2 linked regions of the Nothobranchius furzeri genome follow. The protein of the gene in region 1 binds, or shares a complex with, the protein of each later gene. Links are inferred from orthologs where the notes say so. Each region holds a gene or a part of one and is shown in the gene's direction. Other genes may lie near its edges.

Evidence for each region. Proteins that work in one complex are often made in the same cells at the same time.
Region 2: the proteins of hcrtr2 (region 1) and hcrt are in contact, whole or in part, in a cryo-EM structure (PDB 7L1U), measured with the Homo sapiens proteins. The link is inferred for Nothobranchius furzeri from reciprocal best matches to the Homo sapiens genes HCRTR2 and HCRT. Residues at the interface, in NP_001371201.1 of Homo sapiens: Thr111, Val114, Trp120, Pro131, Gln134, Thr135, Val138, Gln187, Val209, Cys210, Asp211, Phe227, Thr231, Ile320, Ser321, Asn324, Lys327, Arg328, Phe333, Ala334, Thr336, Arg339, Val342, Tyr343, Phe346, His350, Tyr354; in NP_001515.1 of Homo sapiens: Asn89, His90, Ala91, Ala92, Gly93, Ile94, Leu95, Thr96, Met97.

What each region holds. Positions count from the first base shown.
Region 1 is NC_091752.1:23,451,618-23,456,472, reverse strand, and holds the start of hcrtr2 (orexin receptor type 2), read left to right. Parts: upstream 1-1,737; 5' UTR 1,738-1,874; coding exon 1,875-2,085; intron 2,086-4,855. UniProt on the Homo sapiens protein: Nonselective, high-affinity receptor for both orexin-A and orexin-B neuropeptides. Triggers an increase in cytoplasmic Ca(2+) levels in response to orexin-A binding.
Region 2 is NC_091745.1:6,570,824-6,574,905, reverse strand, and holds hcrt (hypocretin neuropeptide precursor), read left to right. Parts: upstream 1-1,526; 5' UTR 1,527-1,778; coding exon 1,779-1,862; intron 1,863-2,644; coding exon 2,645-2,956; 3' UTR 2,957-3,374; downstream 3,375-4,082. UniProt on the Homo sapiens protein: Neuropeptides that play a significant role in the regulation of food intake and sleep-wakefulness, possibly by coordinating the complex behavioral and physiologic responses of these complementary homeostatic functions.

The sequences.
Region 1 (4,855 bases):
AAAACTATCTGGGGTGTGTCATATATCTATCTATCTATCTATCTATCTATCTATCTATCTATCTATCTATCTATCTATCTATCTATATCTATCTATCTATCTATCTATCTATCTATCTATAAATTAGGGCTGGGACTTGATTAAAAATTTTAATCTAATTAATTACAGGCTTTGTAATTAATTAATCTAAATTAATCACATTTTAATCGTTCAGGAAAATGTGCTCTCAAAGTAAAACTTTCAATTAAAATTATGAGAGAGAATCAAACATTAGACATGCTTTACAGTATTTAGAGTTTCTTTTTTACATTAATGGTATATTTTTTTTTACAGTAAGATGCCCAAATTTTTATTTGAGACACGCCGAATGGCGTTGAATTCACAGATAAAAAAGATGTGGGTTCAACTTTCATTTTGGAACAATTTTTCAAGCAAGGGAATGGAATGGTCTGAGCATGCAGGCTGACCCATCTTAAACCTTTGTCGGCTGTGCTGAAGAGAAAGGTACAGAACCAAATTATTTAATTAATTAACTGCGTGTTCTCCTGTCCTCCTGGCCACACACACACACACACACACACACACACACACACACACACACACACACACACACACACACACACACACACACACACACACACAAGGGACTGTCTCAGCTGTTATTTTCGTTAAGGAGTGTGCATGTACAGCATGCGCCTCGTGCACGAGCCTACTATTGAAGCTGCCGTTACGCTTTTGGCCTGAGGGGGCAATCGCAAGCATAAAAATTCAAAACTCCATAAAGTCTCTTTAAAACGAAGAACATCTAGGAGCTTCACCCTTTGAAAGCTCATAACTCAGAGTTAACACCATAAAGTTAACTCCTCTCAAAACGAAGGGGTTAAAACCAAAATGAGGCCTGGAGGACAGCAGAACCCCTGCACTGCTGCCTCATCAAAAAGGTTAACATTAAACCAATTACCCACTAAAAAAAACACCTGGTTAAAACTTATTAAAGGTTTCACCAAACAGAAGGTGTTTTTAAAATCCAGAAGTTGATAAAGTCTAAAGCAATCTACTGACTTAAAACACCTGGTAAAAACTTATGTTAAAGGCTTTACCGAACAGAAGGTGTTTAAAACCGGAGTCAATTAAATTGGAGCAAACCAAGTTAACCTTAACAAACAAAGACCCATTGGGATCAGTCAGAGTTAAAACTATTTAAGTTAAAACTCTTGAACTCGAAGGGGTTGAAAACAAAATGAGGCCTGGAGGACAGCAGAACCCCTGCACTGCTGCCTCCCAGACTGCTGAAGGCACAGCCTTTTTATCCCAGGTGTTGGTAGGATTCAGCTCAGCTGTGCTCCTCAGCAGCCTGGAAGAGAGGGGAAGGAGGGGCGGTGTCAGGCTGATCACCGGGGTTGGGTGATCCTGGCTCCTCAATCTCACAGACCAGGCTGGCAGCCGTAACATAATGTTATTATTAAGCAGTGCATTGCTAAGCAGACCCTCCCCCAGGCATTTTGTCCTAACCTTAAGGAAACTTAACAATTCACAATATCAGTAACGTTAATAAAGGGATTCTTCGTTTATTAACATTTAGTAACATTAATAAATGGACCCTTATTGTAAAGTGTTACCAGCGCATTTTCCCCCCCGGGAGCTTCAACCGACTTTGATCTCACGTGAGCCCCGTTACTTCCAGCTGGACTCGTTACGGACGTGCTGCTGTTTAACCCTGTTGTGACCGTTAGAAGACGCAGAGGCAGAGGGGACATCAGCCTCACCGTCGTTCTGACGGGGTTATTGTGCGTCCTCGTAGCCAGTCAGCTCAACAACCTGCGGTCTCAGCACACGCGCGGCTCTCCGCAGCAACAGAGAAGCGCATTTTAAGGATGTCCGGGATCACCGGGAATTTGGATTACGATGAATGTAAACATCCTGTTCATGTGGCCAACTGCACGGAGCTGCACTCCAACATGGAGACGGACGACGAACTTCTGAGATACATCTGGTCTGAGTACTTACACCCCAAAGAGTATGAATGGGTCCTAATCGTGGCTTACATCGTCGTGTTCTTCGTCTCACTCATCGGGAACTCGCTCGGTAAGTGGAATCATTCCATTCTCCCACTGTCTCCATTCATGCGTAAAAGCGCAAAATTCGCTCAACTTTCCTTTTCAAATTTGAATTTGACTGCTCAGAAAATCAGCTGCAAAGTCCTCACTGATGTGGAAACAATGTTTAATGCGGTTCGGGTTTTCTTTGATGTGGGACTCAGCGCTGCACCTGCGAGCCTGCAAGGCGCATGAGTCAGTGCGGCAAAAAGAAGAGAACAGGTGTGTTGAAAGATAACTCAGTCCAAATGCAGATTTGTTTTCCTTATCATTATACACATGCGTAATATTAATAAGATTCATGCATCAGTAATAGTAATAATAAAAAAATCTTTTTAAATTAATTTCAGCTCCCACGTCATTCCCTGCTCTTTGTACTTCTGAGAATCTGGGAAAGCCTCTGAATCATGTTCTATTTTCCTGTGAAAGAAGCCATGTTTGTCAAAACATCATGTTTAATATAATTTGTTTTCTTAGACGTTTCTTTCAAATCTGCATGGAAATCCCCTTTCGTCACTCTGCAGTTTGATCCTTTGAGCTAGACTCCAAAGAGCTTGTTTTTGGTTGTTTATCTCACTTGGGATTTCTCCTTATATTCCTGATACTTTATTAGACATTTTTCCATCATAAACAACATGGCGCTTTACACAATTTATATGTATGATCTCACAGTGAGACGGAGACTCAGGGTTGTGTTTTTTCTTTCTTTTTCAATAATTGAAGCTGTAACACGCTTGCAATTGTTTAAATATCGCTGGCTGGATTTTACTAACCTAAAGCTTAAGAATTAAAATAATCTACTCAAGAAAACGTTATTCTGGTAAATCATTTATCACAATTAAATTAGAACAAAAATACATGCACCAAAAAAATTAAAAAAAAACTTCTCTTTATGAATAATGTTAAAGTGGAAGTGTGTATTTTCCTGGCACTAGGGGGCAGTACATACATTTCAGGGTAGTTTTACACCATATCGCCCTGATTAAAAAAACATTACGATAAATGTTGTTATGCGTGTAGCAGAAAGCATGCAACCCCAACGTGACTCCTCAGACTTTGATGGTGCTTCAGTTAATTCCATCAAGAGAATGCAATGCTGATGCTAGTTTTCTGGCGCTGTTGTTTCTGGATCTCCTCTGGGTCCTGCACCTGCTGATGACATCATCATATTATGGCAATACCGCTCGCCAAAATATATTGCATCTCTTTTTCAATTATGTTCTTTTACTGTAACATGGTAACATAACTTCCGTAGGTCGTACATCCAGCCAATCATCTAGTGTGACGTCATCGACAGGTGCAGGGCCCCAAGCCGAGAAGGAAACGGCGTGTAATATTATGGCGTCCTGCAAAGACACTAGACTTGCTGCTTATGTGCTTTAGACCCGATTTTTATGGTTATATGTTACAAATCCACCAATATTTTTCAGTGACTGGACATAACATAATTCATTTTGAACATTTTGATGGCTATTTCCAGAATCAGAAGGGTTTTATTGCCACGTGTGCAAGACATCTCAACATTAGGAAATTGCTGTGATACTTGGTGCAAAAAGAAAGATAAAAATAAGAGATAAGTAAATGCAGGAAGTAAGAATATAATAATGATGAAATAATAATATAAAGTGGGAATAATTAGAGAAACGACTATTATATACAAGACAGTGTAGGTACTGATCAGAGTGGATCAGTTCAGGTACAAACACCACATAGGGTCATGTGACTGAAACTGAGTGACTGGATTGGGCAGCCCTAGGATTGTCATTCATGAGTCCAACAGCAGAGGGGAAGAAAGTGTTTTTGTGATGTGAGGCTCTGGTTCGAATGGATCTGAGCCTCTTACCCGATGGAAGCTAGTCAAAAAACTGTGTCCAGGGTGACACGGGTCAGCGGTGACCCAACCTGCATGCCTCAGTGTCCTGGAGGTGCACAGGGCTTGTAAGGAGGGGAGCTTGCATTCAATTATCTTCTCAGCACAGCGTAAAACACGCTGCAGTCTCTTCATGTCCCAGTTGGTGGCTTCAGCATACCACACAGTAATTCAAGAGGTGAGGATGGACTCGATGATTGCGGTGTAGAACTGCCTCATCGAATGTACTGGCAGGATAAATTTCTTCAGCTGCCACAGGAAGTATATCCTCTGCTGGGCCTTTTTTATGATGGAAATGATGGTAGGCACCCACTTGAGGTCCTGGGTGATGGTGGTGCCCAGGAAGCGACATGAGTTCACCATCGTGATGGGAGTGTCGGACAGAGATGTGGGGGGAGTGGAGCTGGTGCTTCCTAAAATCCACAACAACCTCCGCTGTCTTCTGGGTATTTAGCACCAGGTTGTTGTGGCTCCACCAGGAGATCAGCCGTTCAACCTCTATTCTGTGGGCAGACTCATCCAATGGCGGTGCTGCAAACTTGATAAGGTTGATGTAGGGAGAAGAGTAGAGGGGAGAGAACACAGCCCTGAGGGGAACTGATGCTGATGGTCCACGGGTCAGAGAAATTCTTCATCAGCCCTTCCAGAGATCAACAGTAAAAATGTGTTTATGTTTATGTATTTAGCAGACGCTTTTGTCCAAAGCGACTTACAAGTGATAATCGGCATTTTGCCCTTGAGGCTAACAACAACAACAACAAAATACATATTGTAACTTTAAGAAACAGACATCAACATCTTTCAAAGAGGATAAAACCTCTTTCGAACCACTAGATGTAACTAAAAAGAAAATTTTCCATTACATTAATTTTTACATGCTTCCACACGG
Region 2 (4,082 bases), on another chromosome or scaffold:
CAAAAGAACGAGGATTCTTTGTCTCTGCTGAAGATTTATGGTCTTAGTTCGCGGGAAAAGCTCCACGGCTTCCCGCACATGCGCAGAACGTGTTTCTGGTACTAGGCGGTGACGTCATCACAATGCTTCCGTGTGCAAAGCATCATGGGAAATGAAGTTTCTTGGCGCTGATGTGATTATTTGCTTTTCAGAGCAATTTAAGCACAGTCATTTTGGAGAAAATCACTGCATAGTAATTTCCTCATGAGGTCAGACCCTCAACAGAGGCTTCTTCAGTTTCACTTCAACACTGACCGCTACTGGAGATCCTTCCTGCCAACAGCCATTGTAATATACAACAGCTCTTTGATGACTTGATTATTATTATTATTATGAGCTACTACAGCAATCAATTTCCCTCTGGGATTAATAAAGTATTTTTGAATTGAATTGAATTAACTTGAATTGAATTCTACCAGCTGACTGTTTACAATGGGTCTCAAACATGGGGGTGGAGGACATGCTCGTCCAACTGATTTATAAACTAGTAGAAGTACTTTAAAATTTATTTTAAGGTTTATTGGTAACCAGTGCACAGATTTAAGAGCAGGAGTGTACAAATGTAAGAGCAGGAGTACTACGCTTGGTTCTTGTTAAGACTCTAGCAGCAGCATTCTCAATAAGCTGCAGTTGCTTCCCAACTTCTTTAGTGAGACCAGGCAAAAGTCCAACGCAATAGTCCAGCCTGCTGGAGAGCTACACAAATCCTGCAGGACTAGGGACTTCTACAAGCCCTGCATATTTCATTGATCTAAATCCAACTGAGATCATCTGGAGAAGGATTGCAAGAGAAGTTTATAAAAATGGACATCAGTTTCAGACAATAGAAATGTGTGCAGCCATCTTCACCACTTGGAGGAATGTTCCCACTCACTTCATTAAAACGCTTGTAGCAAGCATGCTGCAACACATTTTTGATGAGATCACTGGAGCTCCTCATTACTGAGTTCCTGTTTGGAACTTTAATTTCTGTTTTGTTAAAATGAAACCATGAAAAATATGATTTTTGGCCATTTTTCAAGTGGTCCTAAGCGTTTGATCGGGACTGTATCTGACAAAAAAGATCTGAAAACAACACTGCAGCAAACTTTGCGAAAAGCAACACATCGTTCTCCAAACCTTTTGCACTCGCTTTAAACAATAAACAATACTAAAACTTTCAGCTCAAAACACAAGAACATTTTCTGCAAGGGAGCTGGAAAGAACAGAACCTTTGTTAACGTGTCAGTCTGACTTTTGTGTTGTAAACAGCTCATAGGGACTCATTAGCATGGCCTTTAAACAACTTGCCAAAAGGAGAAAGGCCACACAGCTTTTTTATGTATTCGTATAGTTTTTTATATTTTCTGACACATTACCTTCTTTCACCACTCACACTAATGGTATGTCTTAATCAGCTTTTTTGTGCAGTTACAAAAACATACCTGTAGTTATTCAAAAAAAACCATGGAGCTTCCTCGGAGATGATCTACAACACAAATCTAATTACTGCACAAAAAACTTCTAACACACACACACACACACACACACACACACACACACACACACACACACACACACACACACACACACACACACACACACACACACACACACACACACACACACAAAACAGAAATAAGAGAATTTGTGGTTTGGCTCATGGTTAGTGATTGGCCTGAATGACGTGCTGAGACCTGACGATGTGGACAACGCAGACGTATATAAGAGAGCTTTCTCCCCTGAGGAGATAAGATCAGATGACTGCCCTCCATAAAAGCCTGAAGATGACGTGGAGCCCCTCCAAGATCCAGAAAGCTGCTAGGATGGACACAACGCACAAGGTAATATGATGCAAGGGATCATATAGAAAGAAATAAAACGATTTTTTAGAGAGCGCCTCTCCAGATAAAAATCACAAGGTGCTTCACAAAAGCAAAAAAAAAAAAAATTAAAGTATAAAAAAAATGTCAAAAATTAAAAATATGTTTAAAATGAGAAATATATCAAAATTGTGATAAAATATATAATAATGTTATGTAATGTAATGATGTATTCCTTTATATGCAAACATTATTGTATAAATTTATAGATTTTTGGTTTAGCATTTTTCCCAGTTGAACCCAATGCTTGCTTCAATTGGATTTAGGGACTAAAACGAGTTCTGAGAGGTTAACCTGCTGGTCAGTGGGTTAGTAATAGAGGTATTCACAAAAATATGATTTCATTACATTATCAAAGATACTATACTATTTCTTTTCAGTACCTCTAAGGTAGTTAAGCAATGCTGGCTGTGTTGATACTCTACAAAATTAATACACATTTATACAACACAATTTAAAATTTGGACGTTTTTTTTTTTTGTTTAGCCTAGAAACTAAACCACCAGCCTGCATTCGGGGAATAAGTGTGTGGTGAAAGAAATATGAGGCAACTTAAATATAATATTGTTTTGCACAAAGAAACAACACTCCCCTCAGATGGATGTAGTACTGTTAATGTTTTCTTATTGACTAATGCTTAGAAAATGTGTTTATATTCTACAAATGTGAAGGTTAGTGGCTTTTCAAGGTTTTGGGATTAGAAAAAAAATCACGTTTCAAAGCTATTCTCTTTTCCTGAACAGAAAGCCCTGGTGTTCGTTTTGATGTTGCTGCTGTCTCAGCTGGATTGTAACGCCCAAATTGTGTCTGAGTGCTGCAGACAGCCTCCTCACTCCTGCCGCCTCTATGTCTTACTGTGCCGTTCTGGCAGCAATAGCATGGGGGGAACAATTGTAGAAGATGCAGCTGCTGGGATCCTCACGCTGGGTAAACGGGACGAGAATGAGTATCGCTTGCAGAGCCGACTCCACCAGCTTCTTCACAGCTCCAGGAACCAAGCAGCAGGGATCCTGACGATGGGGAGGAGGACCACTGGGCCAACTGGGGAGCAGTGAACTGGCTTATTCAAGACAAAAACATCTAATCTCTCTGTTTAACATGAACCATTTTAGGACAGTGTTTGTATGAAATCTATTTTGTTTTGTGATGTGTACTTGTGCAAAATGCATCTTTTTGCAATATTTAAAGATGAATGATTGTAAGCTTTACACATGAAGCTATAACCTTTGGAAATGTGAATGACTTTGTGATTACGGTAATTAAAAATTTGAATCCAAGACCAGGTTTCATGAATGATCAGTAAGTGTGTTTTATTCAGATTTGTTCATTCTTTAAAAAAATAATCACACATTTTTACAAACAGAAAATCAAAGAAAAACAATTTTGCTCCAAGGCGCAGTCCGATTTCCTATCAGAGAGTCGGATTCAACTGATTCTGCTGATTAGTAAAATGATCTGTGGCCAATCAAAAGATGGGAAAAATCTCACTGATTTAGAAAATATGATGACCCGCACTTGTATAGCGCCTCTCAGAGTAAGGACTCCAAAGCGCTTTACACTACAGTGTATCATTCACACACACATTCACACACTGATGGTGATGAGCTACGATGTAGCCACAGCTGCCCTGGGGAGCACAGACAGGCGAGGCAGCCGAGCACAGGCGCCACCAGTCCCTTCGACCACCACCAGCAGGCAAAGTGGGTTAAGTGTCTTGCCCAAGGACACAACAACAGAATTCTCTGTCCGGAGCTGGGATTGAACCTGCAACCTTCCGATTGCTGGACAACCCGCTCAACCTGTTGAGCTACTGCTGCCATGTATGTATTAATGTAAATGCTGAATTGTCCAAGGAAAGGAAGGCAGCAGCTTCCTCTAAATGTAACACAGACGTCTAACAATAAGATGTTCTTCAGTTCAAAATTAGATGTTTCAGTTCCTCCCACCAAACAACGACGTGTGTTCTGTTAATTAACTGTTGCTGTGCACAGTTTGAATCCCCATCGATGCTTGTGATGCTTGTGATCCCCCTCTTCAGATATATTCACAAATAAAATAGAAGGGTTACGTTAGTAGAAAAAATACTATATTCTATATTCTTTTAAACATGTGGGTAGCTTACATTATTTAAAAGCTGACATTTTTAAGGATCCTCTGATTCATATATTTTTTTACTTCATG